Drosophila melanogaster: one gene and its partners. The protein of the gene in region 1 interacts with the protein of each later gene in a pairwise test. Each region holds a gene or a part of one and is shown in the gene's direction. Other genes may lie near its edges. The genes, in order: Lcp65Ag1, PAN2, CG16978 and CG2082.

Region 1 (5,894 bases):
CTCTTCGAGATCTCCAAACCAGCCCAAATTCAACATGAAATTCCTGATCGTCTTTGTAGCAATCTTCGCTTTTGCTTTGGCTAACGAAGCGCAAATTATTAACTTGGAATCCGATGTTGGACCCGAAAACTTTCAGTGGTCGTAAGTAGACTGACAGGGTCCTCATAAAAATGCCTAACTGATTCTGGACCTTCGTATTAGCTTCGAGACCAGCGATGGCCAGGCGGCTAACGCTAAGGGACAGTTGAAGTACCCTAACACCGACCACGAGTCCCTTGCTGTCCAGGGATCCTTCCGCTTCGTTGCCGATGATGGCCAGACCTACGAAGTCAACTACATCGCCGATGAGAACGGATTCCAGCCCCAGGGTGCCCATCTTCCCGTTGCCTCCTAAGTGGTTCGAAGTGGAATACCATGATTTTAATATTGCTTTAACTGCCCTAAATCCGTTTTGGCCAAGTCAAAAGTCAAAATTGTAGAGCTACTAAATAATAAAAAATAATGAATGTATATAAAAGAATCTGTTTTTCAATTTCCTATTTGGGTCACAAGAAGTCAACTTCTAAAAAATGAAATATTTATAGCACAACGTGTACTCATCCCAAAAGATCAGATCGATCGATCTGATGATTGGACCGATATCTTAAGTATTTTTTTATATATATTGTTAGTCGATTTTAATTGTACTTTCTGATATGCAGTAAGAGCCACGTATTTAGAATGCCAGAAAATGGGATTTCATATTCCCTATTTCCACCTATATTAATGGAAAATGCCTACCCTAATCTAGTTTTAGTTTAGTTTACTTATAAATTTTATTTAAATCTTGTATACGAAATAAGCTTGCTTAAAAACTGTATTAATATTTTCTTATACCTAACAAATAAATCCGAGTTGTTGGAGCAATTATTGCTACATAAAGTTACATGCCTGGCCTACTTTTTCCCATTTCTTTTGAATTTTTTACTAATTAGAATTTTATTTTTAAAAGGACTTCATTGAAAGAAGTCTACATTTCCCATTCAAAAATAATATAATAAATAAATAAATGTATCGTTAATTTAAATTCATCCACATCTCTCTAGATCTCTAGATCTATGAATATTAAATTTCCACAGCTAGTCTCAAACAAATTTGATAAAATGTAATCAAAATTGAAGCGCTGAAATGGCAACACTCAAAAACGTTCACCATTGAGTTGAAAGCAAAACTGAACTCAATATCATGCATTTTATGCTCAGTATGCGAATTAGATTAGCGTCACCGCACCTTGGACTTGTTCACAATTTATGTATAAATGAGTTCATCCCAAAGTCAATCGATATCATTCGCATCGAACTCTTCGAGATCAGCACATAAGCCAAAAATCAACATGAAGTTCCTGATTGTCTTCGTCGCCCTCTTCGCCCTGGCTGTCGCCGATGTTCAGATTCTGAAGCAGGAGTCCGATGTCGGACCTGTAAGCTTTAACTATGGGTATGTTTTGTGAACTATGTGACAAGGATTTGTTTTCTTACCCTTTGCTCTTGATTAGCTACGAGACCAGCGATGGATCCTCTGCTCAGGCCGCCGGACAGCTGAAGAACGTTGGAACTGATGAGGAGGCTCTCAACGTCAAGGGTACCTATTCCTTTGTGGCCGATGATGGCCAGACTTACTCCATCGCCTACACCGCCGACGAGAACGGATACCAGCCCCAGGGTGCCCATCTGCCCGTTGCCCCCGTGGTTTGAGCTATCCATCGTTAATATTGTTTTACTGAAAAATCCTTCAATTATGAATAAAACCTCAACAGATTGATTAAAGATACATGAATATGTTCGTTTTGAAACTTTAGTTTCGGAAAAATTATTTAACAATTGTAACATCTCCTAAAGAAGTTTTTAGAATGGCTTTTTAATGTGATCATTTCGCAATAAGTCAATATTTATGAAAAATAAATAACTTATTTCGAATCGTACATAGTTTCCACAAATTTGTTGCTTAGCCTGCGATCCAGAGTCATCCCTAAGTACTTGAGTGTGAGTAAATTAGAGATTCAGTCTCCGCTTAAAGAGATTGTACGGCATTCTCCTCTGTGCGAAAGTGAAAATTGATTTTCCGCGTTCACTACGATGTTTCACCTTTGCATCCTAGGGCCCATTGCATCCAGTTAATTTTGGATGATGTCTGTGGCTTCTTCGGGGACAATCGACGGGATTTCGGCGGAACAAGTTGGAGGAACAGTCGGCGGGACAGTCGACGGACAAGTTGGCGGAACACCTGGTGTCAGCGGGACACTCCAAGGACGCTGCCTTGTGCTACTCCGGCTCTAATGGGCCTAGATGAGCTTATTGAGCTTCCGCATCTAACTTGGAATACTCTCCTCTCCGTGCAGGATTTGAGACGGCACAGAAATGTTTCTTTTTTTTCGAATACCTCCAGTGACATTGATCGGTCGATCCGTGGGATCTTCTGAAGCCAAACTGGTGATTAGGGATCATTCCGGCGTGTCCCGCAGAATCTCACGCCAACTGTCCCGCCAACTGTCCCGCCGATTTATCCAGCCGCTTTCAGATTCTGCTTGTGAGATTGCCATCTATTGATAATTTTTCCTTGTTTCTCATGTGGTTATTAATATCAGCCGAGTATTTTTGCTAGTAACAACTGAGTTAGTGAAACCAATTTGAACAACTTGCCTAAACTTGTTGATTTGCATTTTGTGTTAGGTTTTAAGCCATTCAGAGATAGCTGGTACTCAATAATATACATTTTTCACATTATGTTTTGACTAATTCGGATGCGTTCAGCATAATCGAGAGGTTGTCCAACTATTTAAGACGCGCCCTGGCCAACAGAGAGCATCATTCGTCGCGAACTGTTCGATAGCCGCAGATCTAAGCACCAAACAACAATCACCATGAAATTCCTGATTGTCTTCGTCGCCCTCTTCGCCGTGGCTCTGGCTGCTCCTGCCGCTGAGGAACCCACAATCGTGCGCTCTGAATCCGACGTTGGACCCGAAAGCTTCAAATACGAGTAAGTTGCCTATGAGAAATGACCCAAAAGGATACCTAGCTGACACTGACTTCCTTCTTAGCTGGGAAACCTCCGATGGACAGGCTGCTCAAGCTGTAGGTCAGCTGAACGACATTGGAACTGAGAACGAGGCTATCTCTGTGAGTGGATCCTACCGCTTCATTGCTGATGATGGCCAGACCTACCAAGTCAACTACATCGCCGATAAGAACGGATTCCAGCCCCAGGGTGCTCATCTGCCCGTTGCCCCCGTGGCATAAGTTTTTCAACATTTTTAACTAGTTCCTTTTTAATGTCGGTTAACAGGAAATAGAAAACCTTTATTACCGTTCTTATCAAGGAGAACAGAATCTAAATCAATAAGCCTAAAGTGTTATTAAAGAAAAAATTATTACATGAAGTAATTTGTTTTAAATGGGAATTAATTGTAGCAGGAAATCATTGATCACTTATCTATAAACATAAGATAATTTACGTAAAATATAAATATACTTTTTAAGATATAGCTTTTCCCAATGGTCTATTTTAAAAACAATATTCAAAGTGCTATAGTTTTATTGTGATATAGAAGTTATAAGTTATAAGTAATAGAAGTTATAGACTTTTGAGAACTGTGTTTAGATTAATCAATCAATAATATTGAGAACTAAACCTGACATAACAACAGTTCATCATATATGATAAGCTGTTATCTAAAACAAGAGAGAATGCTTAGTGGAGTTCCCCGACTATCGGATACTCTTTACTCAGCTGGTGTGAATGCGAACGCGAAATTTCATAATTTTTCTATGATACCGATAGATATTATGAAATAAAATGAGAAAAAATTTAAAAATTGTTTAAAATGTGGGCGTGACAGACTCGGCTGCTTTAGGGCGTTAAAGTAGGCGTGGCAAAAAGGTTTTTCGCAAATCAATAGAAATTTACAAGACTAATAAAAGTATGAAAAATATCGAAAAATGGTTCGAAAATGTGGGCGTGGTAGTTTTGGCGGTTGTAGGGAGCTAGACTGGGCGTGGCAAAAAGTTTTTTTTTTGCAAATCGATAGAAACAAGACTAATAAAAATGTGAAAAAATTATCAACACGTTTTTAAAAAGGTTAGGCGTGCTTATCAGCATAAAATATATGAGTCCAAGTAAAAACATTTATTTTTGTTGTTGACTCTTTTTGTTTTTGTCAGTTCTGGGCACTTTTTTTTAGCTGCTATTAGTTAAACTTAATGCATTTGCCATGACTTCTTATGTTTTTTTAGCTCCAGTTAAATAGAAACTACGAGAAGACAGCTGAAAAAGGAATGCGAAACTATGCAAACTATATAGATGAAGATGTCCGATTTACATATCGTATAGGGCTTTTAACGATTCAGCTTTAGGCCGAATTCAATTTCACACATTTATCACATTTTGCTTTATACACTACAAGTTTGACTAGTTTGGCAGCGTTGGGCTCGGTCGTCAAAGTTTGTCCATCCATCTATATAAAGGGAGTACAACCATCAGAGGGCATCATTCGTCGCGAACTGTTCGAGAACCGCAGATCAAAACACCAAACAACAATCACCATGAAATTCCTGATTGTCTTCGTCGCCCTCTTCGCCGTGGCTCTGGCTGCTCCTGCCGCTGAGGAACCCACAATCGTGCGCTCTGAATCCGACGTTGGACCCGAAAGCTTCAAATACGAGTAAGTTGCCTATGAGAAATGACCCAAAAGGATACCTAGCTGACACTGACTTCCTTCTTAGCTGGGAAACCTCCGATGGACAGGCTGCTCAAGCTGTAGGTCAGCTGAACGACATTGGAACTGAGAACGAGGCTATCTCTGTGAGTGGATCCTACCGCTTCATTGCTGATGATGGCCAGACCTACCAAGTCAACTACATCGCCGATAAGAACGGATTCCAGCCCCAGGGTGCTCATCTGCCCGTTGCCCCCGTGGCCTAAGTGAAATTGCTTTGACCTTTAGCAATTTTAAAGCCATACTATCCAACTCCTTGTTAATAGCCCCAAACATTACCAAACCAATCCTATCCCTGTTTTCAAAGGATGGGAACTAAGTCAACCAGCACCACTTGTTAAATATTAAAGGAATTTAATTACCTGAACTTATGTGTGTTTGTTTTCATAAAATTCATAATTATTTTATTTTTCAGAAGAAGTCGAAATTAAGTTTTGAATACAATTAGCTTTTGATTAACATATGGGGAAGGTCGTAGTCGAAAAAGAACCGACTGATTATAGATATTCGAAGAATAGAAACTGGTCACAGCGTGTATACGTGACCGCTGCACGATTAAATGTTTGTAAAATACTCTGATATTTGATATAGAATACTCTGATATGTAGAATATTCCATGCTTGTTGGATTGCTGATTGATATTTTCTATTAATAATTAATGTATATACCAATAGTAGTGTACACAAAGCATTTGCTGAGGCTTTACTTATTCAAACATTAGATGATAATATGAGAAATGACAATGGCAAAATCACAATGCACAATAATAAAAAGTTCGAATACAGAACTTTATGCATCTCGACTAGAAGACATCGTTTAAACCTGAGTTTATATGTATATAGCAAATGGTGATCGTGTACTGTTTTTTATACAAATTTTCACCGTTCTATCTGTTTGTTTCAAACAAACATGTTCACGATTAGCTTAATTAACCAATAAGATTTGAGAATTCAAAGGTGATGGCAAGGTAAGGCGTCATTCTGTCTATCAATTGACTGTCGACAAGGTAATTGCATACATTACCATCTGTTGGATATACCTGCATGCACGATTAGTGCAGGGTACTTAGAGTGTTAATCTGTAATTAAAATGTGTTTTATTGAATGTTTGCATTATAGCTGATTTCTTTATTTTTAATTTG
Region 2 (10,407 bases), on another chromosome or scaffold:
GCCGCAACGGGGCCCACCACCTCCTCAGTACCGTCAAATCTGAACCAGCAGTTTGGGAATCTTAATATCGGTAATGTGTGGCAATAAATACGCGGTGTATTTATGTAGTTGTATTCCTTTAATTAATTGTAAGACACGAGTGTTCGGTTCGTCTCGGTGTTGCAACATGTGTGTGTGAGACGGCGATGCTTGTTTATATACATTCGATTTATACAACAACTTGCCAATTTAGTTAGTTGTCCTATTCGTGTTCGTAGAAGAATTCATTGTCGAGCAAGCCACTGTATTAAACGATGTTCATGTCCATGTCCATCTCCATGTCCACCAGGAATCGCGTCTGCTCGTCTAAATCTATTCCAATTAAATCATAAAAGGTACATACATACGCGTGTAACACCCAACTACTTAAAATTGAAAATTGAACCACAGAACGTAATGCACTTTCCAATCAAATGTACATGTTATTTTTCAACATTAGCTAGGTATTTGATACGCATGCATTCAAAATCGTCCACGCCAGGGTACGAATGTAAGGTGTAGACTTCTGGCGCAGTACTTTTTAAATGCTTGATATCCTTAAGAACTTATTCACGCCTGTTTGTCAATGTGAATCTAAAATATCATGGCGGGTTGTCAACGGATTTATTGTATTCGATTCTTAAGTTGCTATGTCTAAGGAAGAAATCAAACCACTTCGAACTGTGTAATAATAAAATATTCAGACAATTGTATGTGCTTCGTTGTGTCGCTGATTTCAAAGTAAGTAAATACGGGTAATGTATGACCTCGTGCTTTTAATTTATATATTAAAGAACTACAAAATGCATTACATTTAGTTCATTAGATAAACAGCTTCTTGTTCGGTTGCCCAACTACTTTTTATTCAACATTATAGTTGTATGTACAAAAAGTTAGAATAATATATTTTCGAATTTTACGTACTATCAAATATTTCGCATCAAAAGTTAAAGTGAGTCTTCTTAAATTTTCCCGCCCTGCTTGAAATTCACAGGGAATCGTATTTAGCAGTATTTGTCATTCGCAGCGATACGCCGACACACCCTACCGATTGCAATACACGTCAACTTGTATAAATAAATAAAAGCCAGCCAAATAACAAAATCGATCATTGTGAGACTGAGAAAATGGGTGAACAAGGCGAGGAGACGGGTCAGAAGCTTACGGAGCGCTCCACCAAGGAAGCCTACTTCGAAAGCCTCGCCGAGTGGGCCAAACAGGCGACGCTGGCCCAGAATGCGATGCTCATGTTTCCCTACTACCTGATGGCCAACTACCCGACCATGTTCCCGGGACTGCCTTCTTCCGCTGCTCTCCAAGCAGCCGCCATGGGACAACCCCAAGCACTGGTTCAGGGCTCGGCTGCTGCGCCGGGAGAACCAGCTGCAGAGCCTCGTTTGCCTGCGCCAAACTTCAGCGGCCTGCGGATATTGGGCGAGGCGGCCCAGCTGGATATCATACAGCGTCTTGGCGGCTACGAGTACGTTCTGTCACCTTTTTGGAAGCGCGCCGTGGCGGAGACCATCGATATGTTCATCCTTTTCATTGTGAAAATCATCATTACCTTCGGGGTGGTCAACCTGTTCAACATAGAGTTCGATGAGGACGTGATTCGGCGCACCCTGGACCAAGAAGACCTCTTTTCGAACTTCTTTGACACATCACTAGATTTTATTTCGATGTCCACCGACCTCCTGCTAATCGAAATGCTGACCAAGTTCATCGTTTGCTGCTACGAAGCGCTGTGGACATACCTATACCAAGGGGCTACGCCGGGCAAGTCGCTGATGAAGATACGCATATACTATGTGGAAGCAGTGATGCCGCTTCAGGGGCCGCCCCTTCCACAGTTCGTCCTCCAGCCGCAGAGGGAGCCGATGAGGGCTCTGCTTTATCCGCCACAGACTCCCTCGCTGATGCGCTCCTTCGCCCGCGCGCTGATCAAGAACCTGGGGATGACCCTGCTCTTCCCCATTTGCGTGTTGATGGTCTTCTTCAAGAACAATCGCACCGCCTACGACGTCCTAACCAAAACGATTGTGGTGGAGAGCAATTCCATTGCCGTGTTCCGCACCCAAGGGCAAGCGCAGCGCAATAATCGCTGAGGACGGCACTTAAACCAGCCAAAGTGTGTAGGAATGGCGCACTCCTATGCACTTCCTATGCACATATAAATAGACTTGTTAATGATAAATTTAATGTCGTTATGTACTGCTGTCGTGTGAAATAAAATAAAATATCACATGAATACCTCAGAATCTGCACGATAATCAAACATAACCAGTAATCCCAATGATCAGTAGAGCTTCCGATATTCCTGTAGAGCTACTCTTCACTGGTACTAGAAACTGAATGATAATGAAGTTCTGATACTGAAATGGTGTGCAGGCGGTGATGTTTCGTTTATTGGCTCAAAGCTTTAGTTTCGTTTATTGGCTCACTTCACATTGACGTTCTTCAGGGTTTGGGCCACCACGTTGCCCTTGCCAGGAACATGGAGAGCGGCGCCCTTGTAGCAGGCAACCAGTTCGCCGTTGGTCTTCAGATCCGGGGCGCACGACTCAAAGATCTTCTTCTTGGGGTTGAGCTGGGCGTCTGGCTGGCGCGGATAGCCCTCGCAGTGAACCAGGTCGCCGGGAACAGCTCCGGCGGGCGGACTGAGCACTTCCACTTTTTCCGGTGTAGATGCGCACATGACCATAGCCTCCGAGGTGACGCCGCGCATTTTGGCCGGCTTCAGGTTACACATGACCACTACCAGACGGTTCTGCATCTCTTCCAGGGGCACGAACTTCACCAGACCGGACACCACGGTGCGTGGAGCCGCCTCGCCGCAGTCGATCTTCTCCAGATACAAGCTGTCGGCGTCGGGATGGCGACCCACCTCCACAATCTTGCCCACGCGTAAATCCAGGCGACCGACGTCGACGGGAGCCTCCGGAGCGGCGGCGGGCTTCTCGGCGGCCGGTTTCTTCTCCTTGGACTTCTTTTCCTTGGGCTCCTTGGCCGGCTTAGGAGCCGGGGCAGCGGGTGCAGCGGTAGCAGGTCCAGCCTCTGCCGGCATAACTACTGGGGCCGCACTGGTGCAGAAACCCCGGGCTCCAGGCACCGGAATCTGTTTCTTGCCATTTCGCAGCTCCAGCTGCACCAGCTGGGCCAAAGCCGCCTCAACTTCCTTGGCCAGTGCAGCGTTCTCCTTGATCAGCTCCTGCTTCTGGCGCTCCACAAGTTGCTGCTGGATGCCGGAAATCTGGGGGGCAGTAGGTTATCGAGTGTTCGCAGGCGCTGGCAGGCGGAAATACTTGCCTCGGCTTCAATGGAGTTGATCAGCGCCTCGGCGCGCTCGTTGTTGCTTGCAATCTGCTGCAGATCGGCCATTGTTCTTTTGTTTCTCGCGAATTTTGAGCAATTCTGGCCGTAATTTTTACATGCGGATCCCACAGTCGTGGCAGCTCTACGCAGCATTGCAGTGCTTCTTCTTGCCACGCACAGTGGCGTCGCGCAGCGTTGGACAGGTAGTTCGTTGGCGGAGAAGCGAGAGTATTTTTACATCAGCCCTGCCAGGGTCACTCTAATCGGTGCAACGCAAAAACGGCTGGCAGTTTTGAGCGAAATTTGTTAAAAAATAAACAATAAAAAGTCGCGTGGGCATCGGCGTGCGGCAGATGGATTACGTGTATTGCGGCACCGACCCCATCGGGGCCTCCGAAGACATACTAAGTGGGTCAAGGGGTCGCTTTGGGGCCAACGCTCACCCACACGCACACACACACGCAAGCCAGCTAAAGCTTTCTCCTTTGTTTTCTGTTTACTTTTTGAAAAGGTGTTTATGACGCGGGATCTGCGCCGGGAAACGGGCACTTTTCGCCCAGCTTCAATGGATTCAACATCGGCACCACCGATCCGGAATATGTGGAGCTTGTGCCCGTGCTTGCCGACGGCGGGGAGCACTTCGGCGTTTCCAGCGTGGCGTTCGACGACTACGAAGAGCTGCTGTGGATGGGCAACCAGGGCGTGAGTTCCTCGTCCAGCCTGCCAGGCTTACTAATCCTGAATCTTCGCTCCTTCCCGCAGGGCCACGTCACATCGTACTACACAAACTCCATGCAGAAGTACACATCCTTTCAGGTCCACGCCACCGACATTGTGCGCGACATCTCCACCCTGGACTCCGGAGTGCTGGCGCTCACGCAGACCTCGCTGCGTCATCAGATCCGCAGGGGTCTGCCCAAGTTTACCTTCAAGTAAGCCACCGCGCTGGCACAAAGATTCCCCGAAAGTGAGGTTTCAATTTCTTGCAGATCGAACAACATGAAGGAGATGGTGAGCATGCTGCAGCTATCACCGCATCGTCTGGTCATGGCCGGACTGCAGGACGAGCTTATCGACTTCGACCTGCGCACGCTCAAGGAAACCCGCATAGAGCATGTGGGTGCCGGCGGATGCACGGTGCTACGCAAGAATTCACGTTATCTGTTTGCCGGCGACCAGCTGGGAACGGTAACGTTGCGCGACCTGAACAGCCTGAGTGTTCAGCACACAATCAAGACGCACACCAACATCCTTTCGGACTTCAGTGTCCAGGGAAATCTGCTAATCTCTTGCGGCTACAGCGGAAGGCAAAATAACCTGGCCATCGACCGCTTCCTAATGGTCTACGATCTGCGCATGCTGCGCCTGATCGCGCCCATTCAAGTGATGATTGATCCGCAGATGTTGAAGTTCCTGCCATCGCTGACATCCCAACTGGCCGTCGTGTCCAGCTACGGCCAGGTTCAGCTGGTGGACACTGTGGAGCTCAGCGAGCCGCGAGTATCCATGTACCAGATCAACACCAACGGCAGCCAGTGCCTCAGCTTCGACATTAGCTCCTCTTCACAGGCCATGGCATTTGGGGACCAGTCGGGCCACATCAACATGATTGCCGCTGTACAAACGCCTCAGCCGCAGTTCAATCTCTACTCGCGAAGCACAGAGTTTGCGGACGTGGTGCCACAGCTGCCGATGGTCTCCATTACGGACACCAACTTTCCGCTATCGTCGGTCATGCTACCGCACTTGACGACGGGCACACAATGGTTCTCAGATTGGCCGGAGGAACTGCTGCGCTACCGCTACCACAGGCCCAAGACCATTGATCCCGAAGTGCTGAGCAACATGAAAATGCAGGGACCGATTGGATACTCGCCAAACCCACGCACCGCCCGTCGTAATCAAATTCCGTACGTGATTGAGCAGGGCGGCGTGTGCAGTCCGAACGGAAATGGAACTGCGGCGGCGACCAAGGCGGAGAACGGTGTGAAAATCATTCCACGGCGGTATCGCAAAGTCGAGCTGAAGTACACGAAGCTGGGCACCCAGGACTTTGACTTTGACCAGCATAATCAAACATGTTTCGCGGGGCTGGAGGCAACGCTACCGAACTCCTACTGCAATGCTATGCTACAGATTTTGTATTTCACCGACGCGCTTCGCGTGAAGCTGCTGGAGCATTCGTGCATCAAGGAGTTTTGCCTGTCCTGCGAACTAGGGTTCCTCTTCAACATGCTGGATAAAAGTACCGGTTAGTTTGCTTGTGTAACTTAACTATCCTTAGTTTAAGTATTTATGTGTGCTCCTTTCAGCTTCTTCACCTTGCCAGGCCAGCAATTTCCTGCGATCTTTCCGCACTGTGCCAGAGGCCTCGGCACTGGGATTGATTCTCACCGACCGCTCATCGAACGTCAATCTAATATCGCTGATACAGGCAAGTAATACCATGGTTTCCTAAGCAGATATTTAATTTATGCACACTCTCAGAACTGGAACCGATTCATTTTGCATCAAATGCATTACGAAATATTCGATTCTAGCAAGAACGCATCCACCTACAGCGGATCTGTGCAAACATCAACGAACGGTAACCACAGCCGAGTTTATCCTTTACAAATAAGTGAAACTTCGATTTATTTTGCAGCGGAAAACGCGGGCTCTTCAGAAACAAGTGGCTCCTCGGACCTTTACGATTCCATAAGTGGTGGGCAGGTGAATTAATGGTTTAACTAACACTCTAATCATATGTACGTATATGAACAGATGAGAACTCCAAGGAGGACGATCGGGAACGCAGTAAGATCAACGCAGAAACTGACATCAGTAAGATCTTTGGGACCAAGCAAATCTGTATAAACCGCTGCATCAAATGCCAAGAAGAGAAGATAAAGGAAAGCATTCTACTTGCCTGCAATTTGTCGTATCCCAACCACATCAAAGATAGTGATCAGTATTTCAACTTTGGCACCATTTTGAAGCGATCTCTCAGCTCCGAGAAGAGTATTCAGGCCTTCTGCGAGAGATGTAAGAAGTTTTCGCCAACCAATCAGAGCGTGAAGGTCGGGAGCTAACTTTATAGTGAACCAAGCAAGAAGTTACATATGTAATGCATCTGAATTTCAGGTGACTTCGCTTCCGCAAATTCTGTCCATTAACTGTGGCCTCAACAACGAAAAAGACATTACCTTCCTGAAGCGCCAGCTCAATCGCTGCAGCGAAAAGACGACTGTTGATGCGGCCGCTTCCTTGAGCACAAGCAAGCCGTGTCGATATGGAGCCAACTGTTCGCGAAGTGACTGCCATTTCATGCATCCGGATCGGTGAGTTACGACGAATCGAAACTGAATCAGTCGTCTTATGCATATTGTTGTACCTACTGTGCAGAAAATCTCCATCGCACACAAGCCAACCGAATGCTGTCAACAATTCTCCCAATGGACGCCAAAAGTCCTGGTTTCCCCTTACATTTACTATGGGCATCAATGACCAAGGTGAGGTGCAGGTGCAAACTCAATCAGATGCAAGCAGTGGCAAATCGGAACAGGAGGAGGAAACGGAAAAGCCACCAACAAAGGGCTTGGACAACAATCGGATGTACGCGCTGCATGCCGTGGTGTGCCAAGTCGATGATGGTACCCAAAAGAACTTGGTATCGTTGATAAATGTGCAGCGGCCATACCACACCATGAAACTGGCTGAATCTGCAGATGACCCTCAGAGTCAATGGTATATTTTTAATGATTTTAGGTAAGTTAGATCTCTATTGTGAATGGCCTTCGATTAATATTGCTCATATATCGCTCAACAGCATATCGCCCGTTTCGCCACAAGAATCGGTATGGTTCACATTGGATTGGAAAGTTCCTTGCATACTCTTCTACAGACACGTAGAGGATGACTCTGAGTCTGCTAGTACTACTAGCTCGACCGTCACGGAAAGTGAAGAAACCATTCCATCAGAGAGCAGCAGCGGCTCGCCAACAAATCTATCCAACCCTTTTCTAGAGGTTAATAGTTTAATATAGCATTGAGTCTGCTGAATGCTAATCTGAATCTTAATCCTACCAGGAAATTGTGAGTCCTATGCTAGGCAACTTAAGTGCAGACGCCACGCTGCAGCCCCTGCAGTCAGATGAAATGCCGCAGTCGGGTGATCTGGTCGCAATGGATGCCGAGTTCGTTACCCTAAATCCAGAGGAAAATGAGATTCGCCCGGATGGCAAAACGGCGACCATTAAGCCATGCCACATGAGTGTGGCCCGGATTTCATGTATACGAGGGTAATTCATTAACTGAAACTTAAAAATATTCATCTCGATAAGCACGGGTATGAATTCTTTACAGACAAGGCCCGGCTGAAGGAGTTCCATTCATGGACGATTACATATCCACCCAGGAGAAGGTCGTGGACTACCTAACTCAGTTCTCGGGAATCAAGCCTGGCGACTTGGACGCTAACTTCAGCAAAAAGCGACTGACTGCCTTGAAGTACTCATACCAGAAATTAAAATACCTCGTTGACGTAGGAGTAATATTTGTCGGACATGGTCTGAAGAACGACTTTAGGTGGGATGCCCTGCTTTGTAAGGAACCAATAGACCACTAAACTTCCATGTGATTGCAGGGTCATAAACATCTATGTACCGTCGGAGCAGATAATAGATACGGTGCACCTGTTTCACATGCCACATCATCGCATGGTTTCCCTAAGATTTCTAGCCTGGCATTTCTTGGGTTTGTATAGGGGTTTTCTTCGATTTGGAATTGTATCTAATTGGGTTTTCCTAATGCCAAAGGTACTAAGATTCAGTCCGAGACGCACGACTCCATCGAAGATGCACGGACCACTCTGCAGCTCTACAAGCACTATTTGAAGCTGCAGGAGGAGAAGAAGTTTGCCAACGCTCTCAAGAATCTTTACGAACGCGGAAAGCAGCTGCAGTGGAAGGTTCCAGAGGACTGATTCGTCGCCAAACCCGATGCCAATTCGACGAAACTCATAATCAACGTTATCGTCAGTACAAACGCTACACCGATCTGAAAAAATCCCGGCTTCTCCCAATTTTATTATGTTTTAATGCGTTGCTATTTGCTACGAAGCTCCTGGTATTTCATGTTGTATTTGTCTATCTTTATAACAAAATCAAAACAAAGCATAAAAGTTGTATTTCTTATCAGTGATGCTTTATTGATCGTTGATGCGAATCTAAGTTGCTTATCAAATCCACAATCGGGCTAATAGGCAAAAGCGGGCAACAGATGTGTTCAGGGATCGTGCACGTCAATCGATTCAATTCCTTTGAAATTCTCATTCGCCCTCCCCTATCACCAGCGGCGTTTGTGAATTTTTGAGATGCTGTCGCCAATTTGATGAATAACCTGATGTTGGACTACTGCGCACCTACTTATAAATACCACGACGAGCAAGTCAAGCCAGTTAGTTGTTAGAGCTCACCATTCACTCAGGGAACATAGATGACAATGCATTTGCTTGGACTTCTCGTGCCGATCGCTTGCGCTGTTTTGTGCGTTGGTGAAAAATCCCTTTACCATGGTCTCGCCCAAACGGAGACTAATCGACGATTCCATTGCTCCCTCAGCTGCCGATCTCCAGCGGACATACGACGGACATGATGGGCCTCACGTTTTCGGAACACCCGGCAATCAAGTCTACATTCGGGGGCAGAACGATGGCGTATACAAGGTGCCAGGAGTAGGTGGTCAGTTCCATCACGCATCGTCGCCAGCAGATCACGTCTATACGGATGAGCAGGGGATCACGTATGTGCACAAAAAAGACGCTGGAGGACCAGGTGGCTAAGAATCATGGTTCGAGGCAGTGCATAAATCTTATTATGGATACTATTTTAAGGAACACATACGCTTAGAGGACCAGGTCTAGCTGCTGTACAGCCCGCCTACTCCACTGTGCAGCCTGCGGGACTTCGCAATCCCCAGTTTCATGTGGAGCGAAGTGGTCGCACTGTGGATGTTGGTTCTGGAGGATTTGTCGTCCAAAGGAGCAGACGTAGTCCTCAGTTCCATGTGGAGCGTCCTGGTCGCACTGTGGATGTGGGTTCCGGAGGATTTTTTGTCCAAAGGGGCAGGCGTAGTCCCCAGTTTCCTGTGGAGCGACCTTGGCAAAGGGCTTTGAAGGACTGATTGTTGAAAGGGACAGCCGCAGCATCAAAGATGGCCGCGTCCAGGGAGAAAACTTCGTGGCTCGTGACGATCAAGCAGGAATTTGGGATGATAGTGTGTCGGTGTGGAAGCGTCCGGATGGACGAACTGTCTCGGTGGGCAATGACGGAAGTGTTATTGTTTCTGGACATGGGCACACGCTGCAAGTGAGTACATTGTTTAATTTATCAAGTTTCGCTTATGAATATACTTATATATATTTTTTATTTGCAGTACTAATAAATAATGGGAAGCAGCCTTTTAATTTACAGAGATTAGGTAGCTAAAATTCCAATGATATTAAATGAACAAGATTCACAAAAACATTGAACAATTTTTCTTTTTGAACATGTGGAAATTCTAGAAAACAGCAATACAGCACATAATGAAAATTAAGTAATTGCGATAATCGCAACCATTTTTGAATAAGCAATGGACTGGCATGATTTAAATACATATACTTTTTAATATACTTTTTTTTAACAAAACATCATTTCCTTAATGTACGAGGTATTCCCAGTCTACGACTAGGTTGTGGTTTCTTCTTCTCAGCGGGCACTTCGGGAACGCAAAGATCCACTTTGGCTGGCTCCGCTGTTTGCTTATCCGCTGGACCTTTTGACCTTTTACTGGTACGACTCTCATGGGATGGCTGCTCCTCGGGTTTTTTAATGGCCACACTCCTTTTGGTTTTTGGCTCCACTTTTTTGTTTCGCCTTAATTTTAAAGTCGTTTCAGGCTGCTCTTCCTCGACTTGCTCTTCATCTTCAGCTTCCAGCTGTTCTGCAGCTTTGCGGCCTCTTTTTCGTTTGGGTTGTGGATCCTCTGCTTCACTGCTAGGTGCACGCCTCCTGCGCCTTTCTTCCTTCTTCTCTATGACTAAGCATTCATCTTCCT
Region 3 (5,859 bases), on another chromosome or scaffold:
AATCAGCAATGTTTAAAAGATTCAGCAGAAAAGTCCATTGCACAACAATACGAAATATTTAAAGCCTTTCATTCAACTGAAACGTGATGAGATTAAAGCTATCAATGTAAATTGTTAAATGAAGGGAGTATTTTTCATGCGAAAGAAGTCAAAATGGGTTTAAATGGTAAATGTGCAATTTTAATGGATTTTTCTGATTGTTAACACATTGAAATAGAATACTTATATACCATATATAAAATATATATTATATAAAATATATATATATTAAATTATTGTATGAGATATATCTTTCTTAAAAACGTGACAATACCAAAACCAATATCTAAACAAAATCATACTTGAAGTTCAAAAAGAATTTAAATACTTTTTTCGAACATTTAAGCAATACAATCGGAAGTCGCTCAAACCGCCACTGACTCATCCGCTTGATGTGGTTGCATTGTCCAGATGTAGATGCACTTTTTTTTTGGTATATGCAAATTTGGATTCATATTTTTGCAACTTTATTTTAGTTTTAATTGCGCGCACGCAATAATTTTCCTTGATGGCGCATCAACGTCAAGGCGAATCGCTCGCCAACGCTCCATCCATCATAAAAGGCCAGCCCAGCAGCGAGTTGGCCAAGTTGGCGGGTTTGGGAGGAGAAGGCTCTTTGATTATGAGCGCGTGCGCACAATCAGGCAGAAAAATTCACAGAGGCAACCAGAATCGACTTGGCTGGACTGCACTGTCCGGTGGACAGGGCGAAGCCAGAGATTCACCCAGTTGGGACTCGATTATCATTATCATTCAGGGGGCGCAGCGGCCATAAAAACGATTCTGCGATTCCCTCTGTGTGTTTCTGTTAGCCAAATGGCGTCTTGCGCCTTGTTTTGCATGCTGCGCTCGTTAAGAACGCCACCGAGAACAATGCAACAGTGGGAGCAGTACACTGAAAATAAAAAAGGGTAGTGCTATGGGGTAAATACTGCAATTGATATGGGTAGAAAAACATTAGAGGATCATTATGGGTAACTTGCTTAAGTATATATATAATAAATCTTATATCTTATAGATGTATTTTATAAAATAAATTTATATTTAATAAACTCATATTTTAAAAATCCTTACTTTCTAACATTTTTGTTAGACTATTTCCTTAGCAACATTTGCTTGTTTTAATTGGGCCATCTAACTTTTTACGGTGTAAGACCAGCAGCATCGACAGCAGTTATCCAACTGGTGTCCAGTAATGGGCTTAGCCCAAGTAAACCCCCTCGCCAACCGAAAACAACTGCGGTTTATAATGACGTATCGGGCAAAATAAGAATTGAGTCAAAGCCGCGACCTGCATATTGATTCGGCATGGATTAACAAACCTGACTCTCCTTCTCCACGGGCCAAGTAATAAAGCCAAGAATGCGAGACGTTTGCCTACTCATGACAATGCAATCCATTCTTATATAAATATTCATTTTAACTCATAGATCTGTTGGCCAGTAGCAGGTGCCATGCCTGCAAATAAGCCAAGACCAGTAGTCGCAAAGATCAAATCGATTTGTGGTGGACCTTGATGGTCAAAAGAGCTAATCTTTTAAATATGAATTATAAATATCACGAACAAGAACCACTTGATGCATTGGAAATGGGAATTTTTTACATTAACCTGGCTTTTAAAGACCAGCAATTATAGATAAATTATATGATGGTTGATACTTTTATTTAAGAGAATATATTGTTTAAAACTATAACATCTGTTTTAATTGACTTCTCTTGGCTTCTCTTTGAAAAGTTTATAAATCTCTTTGAGCCAAAACAGCTCTTTGGTATAGCTCTTAGCCAAAAGTCGTAAGACGAAAAATAGAAGAAAATCGGGCATAAAGTAGAGACCAATTTAATTTGTTTGTTTTACTAATCAGCGGCACGTACTCGCACGTTTTTTGCGTCAAAGTCTTTAGTGCGGTCTTTAGCTGAATTCTGTTCGCCGATATTGGAGCTCTTTTTGTTGCCATCGCTGCTATTGGACGGTACGCTTTTGACCAGGTCGGGCGTATCGGCTGCCGTTTGGCTAAACAGCCCACGTTTAAACATGGCTCAGAGCGTGCTAATCAAGTGGCTACGAAAACAAAATTACGCGACCGACTGAGCAAAAGCCAGCTTTGACTTTGTCTCGTTTTTCATATATTTGTGGTTACCTTTCCAGGGGGTTCTTCGATTTTTGAAAGAGGTTTGTAACACTGAAAAATATACCCACAAGCTTAAGGTATATATGAAGAAAATTTAAACGATTAGATGTCATTTTTGGTCATAATTAAAATCGAGTTATTTTTACAACTTCAGTATTATCAATGATATTGATCATTGAAGCTTCGAAAAGGGTATTTAGACATTGGCTGAAAAATATTTATTTTCCTCCTCTTTTTTTTGATTGACTTTGGTTTTTATGTTATTTGGTCGCGTTGCGTTGAAGTTGGTTTTGGCTTTGGACTCCGGTGAAGCCAGGGGATTTGGGGCTAGGGCTGGGCCGTCGTTTGGGTACGCTTTGATGGCTTCTAGGTGAAGGTCATTGTGTGACTGAAATGTTAATTTGACTGACTGTCGTACTTTTATGCCGGAGTGCCTGGGCTATTTCAGTTGTATCTTTTTAATGGCACTTGCTAAGGTTCTATACACCTAGAAGTGGGTATTCATGTCGGCTTAAAAACCACTAAACAAAACTCAAAACCAACTTTGATTTGTTGCGCCGCTGGTATGCGGCGATTTTTAAATGACTGACATTTGCTAGCAAGTCGACATAATATACAAAAGCATCAGAAAAAGTTTGAAATTTTTTAAAATATACATTAATTATAGAATTGAAGTTGAGGATATTAAAATAATTAAAAACATATTTGTGGTTATTATTTCAGTTGCCAGCAGAGTTTTTATATTATATAAAGAATTTTCTGAAACGTTTTAGAAATGACTAAAAACGATCCGTGTAACAGCTTACTTTGATTTCAATGGCGCAGTCTTAGACTCCAATGATGGCGATGCAAATGAGCGACATATTTGCAGACAAGTCCACCAGCAATTCGGTGAATGGGCGGGCGTCTGCTTCCCCGGAGGATAATGAGCTGCAGCCCCCGTGAATCGAGTCTGGTGGCCCATCTAATGGTGTTGTTCGCATGGTGGTTAGATGGTTGAATGCTGCAGCTACAGCAGCAACGATTCAGCACCGTTTTGCTGATGCGGCACACTCCAATGCCATAAAAGGGCATTAGCCTCGTGAGTAGATTGCATGTTTTTACCACAGGTTTTCGTGGATGGGCTCCCGTCTTTTGGGGTGGCAAAGTGAGGTTGTACTGGCAGCTGAGTGCGCGCGCTTTGGAAAATTGAATAAAGTGCCGGAGGAGCCAACGAAGGATTGAGGCAACGAAGCGGAGTAAAGTGCTCGATGCTGGCAGCCAAGTCATTTAAGGGTTGCCGGCAGCACTCACATCGGCCTACAAGGAAAGATGAAATACAGTCGCTTTGCTAAGTTTATAATCCCTTATTTAGAGTACATTTTCTGACTACCCAGCTAACTAACACAACTCTAGTAACTGACAGATGATTGGCATGGCCGAGAATTTTCTCAACAGACATAGCAATTATTTGGAATTAATCATAGACTTATTTGCATGACTGTTGATCCGCAAGTGGCAACGTGTCGTATGCGCAATGCTTGCTCTTGCTGGGTCTGCGATGATTCAGAGGGGACTCTAGTACCGCCCAACGCATAAATATGAATGAGGAAATCGAAGCAGCTTGCCACTTGGGCTTAGCCCAGACTGGATTTTCCAGAATTCCATTGAACTTATTACTGACCGACACGATCCATATAAAAACGAAAGAAATTGCATCTGGCTATGCAGTTGCCGGCGGTGCATTGATCAGCATGATGAGCCGCATCATATCATTGCTTCTCCTATTCGGAATCATTTGTGCTGCTCTAATTGCCGGCCATCCGCACGACCTTATTGAAGATCCGGAAGGTACCAATGATGCTTTGGAGGAATCTGGCAGTGGATACAACAGTGCCGAAGAGTTCATGAATGCAATGGACGAGCTGATCAGACGCTGGCAGGAGAACGATGCAGCTCATGAGAACTCAACTGACTATCCAAGTCTTGATGACGATGAGACGACTTTGGATTTTATGGATATTACCACCGAACCGGCTACTTAATATGGAATTATTTAGTAGTGCTGTAATGCTAAGTCATGCTATCCTATTGTCTGTAAATAATCTAGTTCTTCAATAATAATTATTAAGGGAAATAAAAGAAAGTTTTTAGAAATTTTAAAATGAAATCAATCAAGAGAGAATCAAGAGATCTTCATTTTTTGATAATGAATGTTGCCTACTCCGCAATTTCGATTTTAAGTACGCATTAAATACTAGTCATAGATTGAATTTAATAGCTCGTTTAGTATATCAATTAAGCTTGTGGTAAGCTGTGTTGCTGTTAAGCTGGAATTTCCCGCACTCACCTCTGTCTAAAAGTATACATATCACCTTTAAACCAACCACTTAGAACTGCTGATAACCCAGGGCAAGGCTATAAAAGCCCAGCTCAAGAGCCGACTGACATTCAGTCAACTGTAGCCAGAGCTAATCGAAAGAAAAATGCAATCCATTCTCCGACTGCTGGTGCTGTTTGGATTAATCTATACCGCGATCGGTGCATCGGGTATATTTCAGAATATAAACCTCGGTGGCGAAGGAGGAAGAACACGATCTTCAGGTGGCAACTTGGACTGGAGCGATAGTGTTCACAGTTCTGATGACGATAGGACTCTGAAGCTACTGGAATCGTTGGATAACAGTGGCAATGATAGAAATAATTGGGGCAACGATGCGGTGAGGAATTCTGGATTCGATACCGATAGATCCGCAGGAGACTCAAAGGAAGACGCTCGCGGATTCCAGTTTATACACATAGGATAAATGTTACGATGTTAAAATACTCAATTTAAATAAAAGAATTTTTAAAAGATTAAGAAATAAGCATTATAAAATGCTTTAGATTTTATTACTTAACAAACGTATTTATTATTTTATGAACTGATCTTATCTAACAAATCCAATGGGCCTTGACCCATTTCGAAATCAGTTCCGCCTGTTTCATCATTGAGAATTTTTCACTTTTACTGTCGATTTAAAATAGCACCCCTCTCTAAATATCTTTAATCATACAGCTTATGCTAATTAGGTGAATAATAAGTAGAAAAAAAAGAAACCAATTTTGAGCTTAGAATACCATTACGATGAAAACGAAAACAAAAAGAAATTAGCATATTTATGCGATTTTATGGTTAAACCAACGTTCTGTGTTAATAGCCGAATTTCAGTCTTCAGCATAGCGTTAACCAGTTATACATAACTATAACTAAATGAAGGCTATCGAGAGAAATTAAATCGATTTCCGCATCATGAATACATTTTAAGCAGTGCTAATCAGAAGAAAATGTTGCGCAAGACCTAAGCAAACTTACCTCCGAAAGTAGTTAAATTTTTCTTCTGCCCTTTGAACAAAATGGAATAATAGAAAATATTTGTTTGTAAACATACAACAGATCTAAATTTAATTACCACCATTAAAGCGTAATTTCTATCTCGGCAAATCAATCAAAAACAAACATCGAGCGGAACAATCAATTATTTCGATTACAATGCAATCAATTACTATGCAAATTCTCTTCGCACACAGCAATGACTGAATTCGTATAATTAAACAATTTTACGTTTAAATTTTGACTTAAATTTAAATGATTGCTTTTGCTAATTATTTACCCCGTTCAAATAACAATTACAGCAGCGAATTCGAGGTGTAAATAATGGAAACCGCACAA
Region 4 (8,062 bases), on another chromosome or scaffold:
CCCCCCCCCCCTCCGCCAAGGAAAGTGGTGGAAGGGCTTTCTTTGGCCGCGCCAAGTGGAGGAATTAAAAATGTTAATTAAATTTCGGTTCGGAATGGAAGGTGGAGGGTGGCGGAGGGTGGAACCCGAGCTAGGTGATTCGCCTGCCAAGAGGGCGCAGTGGTGGTGGGGGATTCGGGACCAGGTGTTAGTAACACGGACTTTGCTTACACTTTGCATATCAATTTGGGACGAGTGGAAGCGGATGATAATGGCGGTAATGATGCTGATGATGGCGCTTATCAATCAGCGCGGGAATTTCGGTGACCAAAGCTTCATTTGCATTCCATTCGAACGACCTTTCACTGGCGGATGATCGATGTTCGCATAAGCCATGCCCATCTTCCCCCCATCCTCCGTCCGCTGGGCCAACGCATGCATTTATTCCATGTCGTGTACACTCCTATCGTTCCGCTCGTGAGTCCAAAAATAGCTGGGCAAATAAGTTGGGTGGCGTGAGTTCGCGACTACGACGACGCGAACATAACGAGCAAAATAAATGAACGATAAAAAGCCAATAAAGAGCGGCATAAATAAATGCGTAAATATCGAGCGTATACATTATATCGTTGCGGAGGAATTTCCGAAGATTGCCTGCCACTTTGCAGGGCAGGGGCGCGGCTCAAGGGGCGTGGCAGGAGGCAGGAGGCATAAAGGAAGATTCGGCAAACGCATTTGCTCAAGTGTCGCCGTTGTCATCCTTCGGCTGTTGGTTTTTCCAGGACGTGTGTTTGTGTTGCCATTTGGGCTTAAGTGTTCCGGGCTGATCCTGCTGGTGCGGGTGGTTCCAAGGGGGAACAGGATGCTCCTGTAAATGTAGGACGGGATTTAAACTGTTGCAAATATTTAGTGGGCTCTTTAATATATCCAAATATATCCAAATTCAAAACGTTAGGTCTTTTCCATTAGTCTAATTAGTAAAATACGATATAAGAATAAATTGTGTATCAAAATTCATGTGCTTATATTCCCTTTTTGGCTCGACAATTTACACAAAGTGCTTGAGTTTGTTTTTATATTTTAACCCATTGAAGAACAGAACCCCTATGATGGCTTTTGCCCAAGCTCCAAGGCACCAAAGGCACCGAAAAAATTGATTGGATTTGTTTACCAAGAGCCATTGCTTCCTGTTTCGCTGACTGCCGACAAGTCGTTGTTTATCTCTTGGAATTTAGCGTCTGTTTGGGGGAAAACCTTGAAGTTGAGTTCCTACTTTCACGCTTAACTTTGCGAATTGACATAAATGGGATATTTGCGCTTTGCCAACTCCCCAGATACTCAGATACCCAGCTACCCAGCTACCCAGCTACCCAGCTACCCAGTTACCCAGCTACTCAGCCAACTACTTGGATCCGCCTGAACCCATGCTCCGCAGCTTTTGCCGCCTTGAGCAATCGGCTTACACACTATCAATTGCAGCCACCCTAGTTTTAGCACCACCCCCCTCCCCGCTCTCCACTGGGATCCCATTCAGCCATTGTTTGCCACACCCACATCATCCGCTAACCGCTCGAAAAAGGCGTATATTCCCCAGGTGCCCATTCACCTTCCTGGGCCAACGCCTGCCCGCCCATAAATCCACCTCCTTGGCGGATTTTGTTGTGGGTTCGAAGCACCTGCCTGGATAATTGTGGCTGACAATGGTGTTTGTTCGTTGCTCGTCGTTTATGTGCATGCAGCGCTGTTCCTTCGCCCGCCTTTTGCTTAATTCCTTTGTCTGACTGGCGGCTTTATGCGCTTTCAGTCATCATCATCATCCCCATTTGTTTAATTAAAGCACGTGTCGAAATTGAAACACAAAAAATTATGACACATATCTGCTTATGGCCTTGGCGGAAATGCATGCAAATTTTGAGAAGATCAGCGAATTGCTCTCGTAAAACATACATTTAATATGGTTCATTTAACTGAAATGAAACAACCTTTTGAAATTTTTAAAATATCTTCAACGGTTTTTCTTTCTGTGCTCTTGTAAATCGAAAGAATTTAAAATCGCATGGAGTATCAAGTATCCAAGCCTTCAGTTCATCCAATATTTTTGGTTTACCCCTAATTGGCTTCAACATTTTGCGCTTTTCTCATCCAACTTTAAATTACTTTCACTTTGGCCAGCCAGCATTTTCGAGCTGCATCATCGGTAGTTGCGAAGGGGATGGCCTTCGATGTCAGCACATAATAGTAATCCATTCCATCATATCACCGTACCGGCCGCACCGCACCTCTGCACCTATGCTCTGTGACCCTTTTTCCATATCCATATCAGAAATTTCGACCCGGCGGCCACGCCCCCACCCACAGGCACAGCCCCTCGTGGCATAACCGCAGCCGGCTTGACCTAGGACACGCATATTTCTAATGCGCATTTCGCCAGAGAAGTGGGCGGAATTGGGGTGCCCGGGTCGTCCGGGGAGACGGATTTGCGCATTTCCCGCGCGCTGACAAATTAGCACATCAAAACAAAAAGGCCAAAAAGGCTTAGAGCAACAAGAGAAGAAGGGCTGCAAAGGCGAGAGCCCGCCGACAATAAAGAGTCTGCTCAACAATGCCACCGAAAACAAAGTAAGACAAAAAGGATTTTTACATAAACCCACGCAAGACACCCACACAAACGCAGGCCAGCAGAAACACACACACACACTCTTACAGCGACGAACGTGAGTGGGCGCCAAACTAAGCGCGCCCAAAAGTAGGCAACGGAATTTTCTCGGCAGAAGCTGTAGGTGCGCGTGTGTGCGTGCATGTTGCAGTGCGAGCGTTGCCAGATGGAAAGAAACGTATATGTGAATGTTCCCTTGAATTTTAAACTGCAATTACGTTCTTTAGAGGTAATTGAAATATTTGGGATTGCTTGACGTAAACAAATGAGAATGAGAAATATTTATATTTTCTGGTTGGTATCTAGAATCACTCTTTGCCAAAGCTAAAAATACTATAAAATTACACCACAAACAAATAAATAGTTCATAAGCTGTATTTAGCTAGGTTTTATAGGTAGCATATTTGTCTAGATGCATATTTTAAGTAATCGTAATGCATTGAAGATTCCAGAAACTACTATTGACGCATACAAAGTCAAAGGACCAGAAACACAATATCTAAATGTGATATAAATGTGATATAAATTTAATACTTTTCAACACAAAACTCAGTTGGGAGTCGAATTTCGTAATGCGTAGTTGGTGGGCAACCATCTGGCCACGCTCTGTGCAACACCTTCCCAACAAACTGCCCTACGGCAACATTTCAACACTTGGCCCACCCCCAACCGCCTCTTTTTCCCCGGCAGCATCACTGCGAGAGCGAGAGAGACAACGGTAGAGGGGGAGCGAGTGGGCAGAAGGCGATTTCACTTGGCCATTTCACTCATCATCAGTTTGTTTTGCTCCCCGTTTCGCTCAGCTTCGTTTCGCCTCGGAAAAGATCGGCTTTTCACGCCGGCGATGGCGATGGCGTAGCATTTTCCCATGATAAGCCAGTTTTCCCAGTCGTCGCCAGGCGTTCGAAGATTGCGCATTCGTTCAGAAACGCGGTTCCGCCCGATTCGCATCCGATTTCGGTTTCCATCCTCGAGTGCTGCTGTGCGCCTGATAGAGCCCCGTTCGAGCCACGCTTGTGTGTCCCGCAGTTCCTTTGAGCAACCCAGTGAAGTGAAGCTACCGTCGCCCGAATCCCACACCATGTCGAAGCCGGGAACCCCCAAGCACGGCGCCGGCTCATCCTCAGCAGCTGCTGCCCCCGAGAAGATTAGCGTGAGTTCCGACATAGCAGTTTACCGCCAGGAGGACAGCTTTTCGAAAAGTGCATCCTGGCTGATTTGGGATGCAGAGCATCAGAACACCATAATATCATGTTCCACATCACTCCCGTCCGTCAAGTGCGTTAATGCGCTTTTCTAGAATTCTCTCTGTGCGTATACGTAATATTCGTAACACGCCGAGCTGCAAGTGCGAGCGACTACTTCTGTTAACATCTCAAGTGTCTGAGTGGTATAATCTTTCAAAAAAGTCGGGATAAATATTTGCACGGAAATTAGTGATGAAATTGCAGACGAGTGAATTAGTTTGCTATAAGACCAAGTTGTTCTGAATAATATTTAAAAACCTACCTAAATTAAGAAATTATGAAATATTTCTGAGCACTTGTACCACGAAAAAGCTATTAGTTTTTCTTCCACATGAAAAGGGCTAAATAGCACGTAAATGGAAAATTATACTATCAAAAAAACGTAAGGTGTTGAAAATGTAATCAACTAATTTCGTGACAGTTCGAGGGCTTTGTGGAATTAGTCTACCTAAAATTCATCCCCTTTACTTCCTTCAATTAAAAAAGGTGAGCGCGAAATGCTAAGCCAGACTAAGCCACCGCGATCGAATAGAGAAAACAGAATACAGAATATATTGTAGAAACATATGCTGGTGACCTCGAATTCCCCTTTTGGCACGGGGTTACCTTTTGTAGTTGGGTGCTGTTTGCTTTTTATTTTTTTGGCCCTCGGTGCCCAGTGAACTGGGCTCAAAGGGCATAGCATACTTTCTGTCTTGCGCCTCATAAAAATTGCATAATTGTCGTTCTGCATGTCGTTGTTTGTGCGACTCTTTGTGTGGTCCTGTTGATGTGGCTATTGGAATGGGGGCGACTCAACCATTAGCCTGGAACTGCATGTTTCTTTTTACGTGCCATTTGCGGTCGCATCTGGCACACAGCAACTGCGTAGAGTGGGCCAAAACGAATCTAGGTGCTCAAATGGGCAAAATTATGGTGTTCGTTCGGTCTTATTGGCCTGCTATTTCCCTCTTTTATTAGGCAGCTAATTATATGGCGACAAAGTGGTGCGGACTCTAAACGGAAATAAAGGAACATATCCAAGTTGAAAGTTAAAGTGAATGCACCCACTTCATTGAAATATGGTTAATTTATTGTTGAAATGCTACATGTTATTTGATAATTTGCGGAGAAAACTAATAACTGGAATATAAAAATTAAATCTTTATAAATATTTGCTATGTAGCATTTTTTCACTTATTCGCTTTTGGCCCTCGTGGCTGGCTCATAATTTCCCCATTTTCCTTTTCGACTGAGCTCATTAAATCCTGACCACAATGTGAGCTGCGCCACTTCCACCCCGACCACATGGTGCACACCCTCTTGTCCTGCATTGCAATCTCAATCCAAATATGCTGACTAAAGGGCTTTGCTGGAGTAAATCTCTGCGATATATGGCTGTATTCCTGTCCGACTCGCTTTGTTTCCCAGTTTTCCGCAGGGCTCGCTCATCCCCTCAAGCGGAATCTGAATGCGATGGAATTTAACTAGGGAAAAGCATAATGGGGAGTCGGCTGTCCATATAGGGGTATGCATTATACATGATACTGCAGACCGGGCCAGACCTATACCACTATTCCCACGACTTTTTCCATTTTCCTTCGACATTCTGCCCGCGGGTCTTCCATTGGCCGCCTTGAAGAAACTTCCCATAATTTGTGCTGGCCCACACTCACACTTCAGGATATAAGTCCTTTTCGGTCAAGTTTGCGTTCTTTGTTCCGCCCAGCCAAGTTTCTTCATCCTCCGAGTTTGTTTTCGCCGGAGCATCTGGCGTGTCCCCTGTCCACAAGACGAAAACTTGTTGACTTCGAAGGCATCGAAAAACACGCGTTTCTCCTTTTATTTCAATTTTTTTTTCATATTTTTTCCTCTATGCATTGTTAAGTGAGTGGGAAACGGTGGCGTAAGAACTTTGCCACCGGCAAAGTGTCAAAGTTTGCAAGGCAAGGTTGCTCATACGCCCCGTTGCCCCCTGCGGCTGCGGGCGCAAACTTAAAGAACATTTAATTGGTGGCTTTAAGCACCGGCCTACATGCCCGCGTGATTTGTTTGTGTCTATTAAAAATTCCCTGGCAATGCGGTCGCTTCGCCAGAAAAGTGTGCTGGAATTTTGTTTGCACAACTTTTCGCATCACTTGGGGGCTTTTGCCTTTATGCAACCGACCCCCACCCCTCCCCCTGCAAGGTTTTCCATAAATTCAAACACTTTTACCCAGATTTTCACCGCCCTCATAACGGCATCCGCAGGCTGTTGGAAAAGTGTCGGGGCATAAAAATCCCATCAAGTATACGTCAAAGTGCGGCCAACTTGTGCTCCTCTTAGATAATGCCTGGCAAAAAGGTCCTGCACGAGAAGTCAAAACGATTCCAATTCCAAAATGCTGACTGTGACTTTTCGCTCTGGATTTAATTGCATTTCAACTAGATAGGCAAATTCTACTTGGTCTAGAAGAGCCATTAAATGGTTCACATCTACATATGGCAACTGAATGTTTTAGTCTCCGAAAATCCACCTGCCACCAATCTTTGAATCGGACTACTAGGGCAGAATAAATATGTAACTATGTCCCAATTATAATGCACTGCACAATGGCACAGTCCACCGATGATTACTATGGATACAGACTCGAATTTGTGTACATTAGCAGGATTTGCTGTGCCAAATCAGCTGGGAAATTAAATATCATATCAATTATGTGGCCTGCACAATGCACCTGCAGAATTCAATCCAGGCAATTGCTAATTGAAACATTTCGCCCGCCACTGGGTATTCGGAATATTAATTGAGATTAATGCGTTGTTAATAGAATGAACTCGGAAATGGCACAAGTACGAGGGACCAGAGGCGGCCCATATCCGATAATTAAATCTACATTACCATTACGCATGCTGGCCAGGAAAAGGACGGCAAAAAGTGAGGAATAGCATCAACAGAATGAGCCGGGCGAGAAGGAGGCATATCTATGTGGGCAATCCACCCCCAGGACGACACATGACAGCACTTAACCAAATACCAATAAAATCCTCAGAGCTGGGGATTTTGGGGCGTTGGGGGCATCCCCAAAGTGCTACGGTGCAAGTGCGGTTATTAGACAAAATCCATTTACACTTGAATTCGCTTTTGGCCAAAATGAAGTGGCCAAGACGGGACCTGGACCTTCTGTCCGTCCGCCCATCAACAAACTGGGAAACGGACTGAAGGAATGCGAATGCAATAAATTAAGCCCGGGGAGCAGTCCCACCGATTGAGTTAGGCGTGTCCGGCGAGGAAAATGCTGATTAGCGGAGAAAATAGGGGATTGGGTTCCGGAGGACGGGCCTGTGGCCTTAATTCAATGGCAGGCACTTTGTTAAATAAACTTTCTGTTCAAGTGGCGAATACTTCTGCAGCAGACTTGGCTCTCTCTCGAGAGTCCTTAACTAGGTCCCGGCTTTGTTTTACCCGATCCACGCTGATGAGTTGAAACCCTGATGAGCCGTGTGGTGGGCAGTGGGGGATCAGAGATAAATGGTGACCTATATCCACCTGGCTGGCGAAACACTAGTTTCCAATGATGGTGTATACCTCTGATGGGCAATTAAACAAGCACAAGACATTTAGCCTGCATGCTGATGGATGGAGTGCTGAGGTGCGAACTTTTAGCCATTTCAATCTTACAAACTTTTCGACTTGCGTTTAACGATTTTTTGAACAAGCAACCAGATGACAACTTCTGGCTACAGCAAGTTTTCTCGTTCTTGGATAAAATATATTGTAATTGGCAAACGTTTGTTGTTTGCCTTTCGTTTTTGCTCTTGGAGCAGCTCAAAGGATATTTCTGATTCGTTTAGCAGATTAGAAACAGTCAGAAGATAATAGATCAATATTCAAACGAATTTTAATGTAATCACACAAATATGTACTCAATCTTATTAAATGTAAGGTTAGATACCCCATTCTGAAATAATGGGAGTGCGAGGGAGAAATTTCAAAATAAGCTTAAAAACCACACATCGTTTTGCGGAACAGAGTGTATCAGGCATCAAGCCGTCAACTGTGAAATCCATCAGCAATCCTGCAGACTGAACCCGACGGAATGACGGCTCCTGCAAACGCTAACACAAGGATGTGAGTCCTGGGAAGGGAAGGGATAGGAAGCGTTTTGATATGATGGATACGGGGCTGCCGTGTGTAATGGGCACTTAGGTCGCTGCCACA

Evidence for each region.
Region 2: the proteins of Lcp65Ag1 (region 1) and PAN2 interact in a two-hybrid assay, tested with the Drosophila melanogaster proteins (one large-scale study listed by BioGRID).
Region 3: the proteins of Lcp65Ag1 (region 1) and CG16978 interact in a two-hybrid assay, tested with the Drosophila melanogaster proteins (one large-scale study listed by BioGRID).
Region 4: the proteins of Lcp65Ag1 (region 1) and CG2082 interact in a two-hybrid assay, tested with the Drosophila melanogaster proteins (one large-scale study listed by BioGRID).

What each region holds. Positions count from the first base shown.
Region 1 is NT_037436.4:6,132,219-6,138,112, reverse strand, and holds Lcp65Ag1 (Lcp65Ag1), read left to right. Parts: upstream 1-2,838; 5' UTR 2,839-2,899; coding exon 2,900-3,018; intron 3,019-3,079; coding exon 3,080-3,278; 3' UTR 3,279-3,416; downstream 3,417-5,894. Other genes in the region: Lcp65Ae, read left to right, coding at 35-141, 202-394; Lcp65Af, read left to right, coding at 1,373-1,476, 1,535-1,733; Lcp65Ag2, read left to right, coding at 4,581-4,699, 4,761-4,959. UniProt on the Drosophila melanogaster protein: Component of the cuticle of the larva.
Region 2 is NT_033778.4:8,924,617-8,935,023, forward strand, and holds PAN2 (Poly(A)-binding protein-dependent poly(A) ribonuclease 2), read left to right. Parts: upstream 1-3,552; 5' UTR 3,553-3,683; coding exon 3,684-3,738; intron 3,739-3,841; coding exon 3,842-4,032; intron 4,033-4,092; coding exon 4,093-4,262; intron 4,263-4,319; coding exon 4,320-5,581; intron 5,582-5,642; coding exon 5,643-5,764; intron 5,765-5,817; coding exon 5,818-5,917; intron 5,918-5,974; coding exon 5,975-6,034; intron 6,035-6,093; coding exon 6,094-6,389; intron 6,390-6,453; coding exon 6,454-6,650; intron 6,651-6,714; coding exon 6,715-7,077; intron 7,078-7,138; coding exon 7,139-7,337; intron 7,338-7,398; coding exon 7,399-7,610; intron 7,611-7,674; coding exon 7,675-7,896; intron 7,897-7,954; coding exon 7,955-8,064; intron 8,065-8,126; coding exon 8,127-8,293; 3' UTR 8,294-8,487; downstream 8,488-10,407. Other genes in the region: CG8243 (uncharacterized protein), read left to right, coding at 1-87; CG8237 (uncharacterized protein), read left to right, coding at 1,146-2,123; AIMP1 (aaRS-interacting multifunctional protein 1), read right to left, coding at 2,456-3,268, 3,325-3,483; FANCI (fanconi anemia complementation group I), read right to left, coding at 10,001-10,407. UniProt on the Drosophila melanogaster protein: Catalytic subunit of the poly(A)-nuclease (PAN) deadenylation complex, one of two cytoplasmic mRNA deadenylases involved in general and miRNA-mediated mRNA turnover.
Region 3 is NT_033779.5:13,141,640-13,147,498, reverse strand, and holds CG16978 (uncharacterized protein), read left to right. Parts: upstream 1-3,876; 5' UTR 3,877-3,901; coding exon 3,902-4,192; 3' UTR 4,193-4,285; downstream 4,286-5,859. Other genes in the region: CG9928 (uncharacterized protein), read left to right, coding at 4,634-4,954.
Region 4 is NT_033777.3:5,767,356-5,775,417, reverse strand, and holds the start of CG2082 (uncharacterized protein), read left to right. Parts: upstream 1-3,519; 5' UTR 3,520-3,716; coding exon 3,717-3,788; intron 3,789-8,062.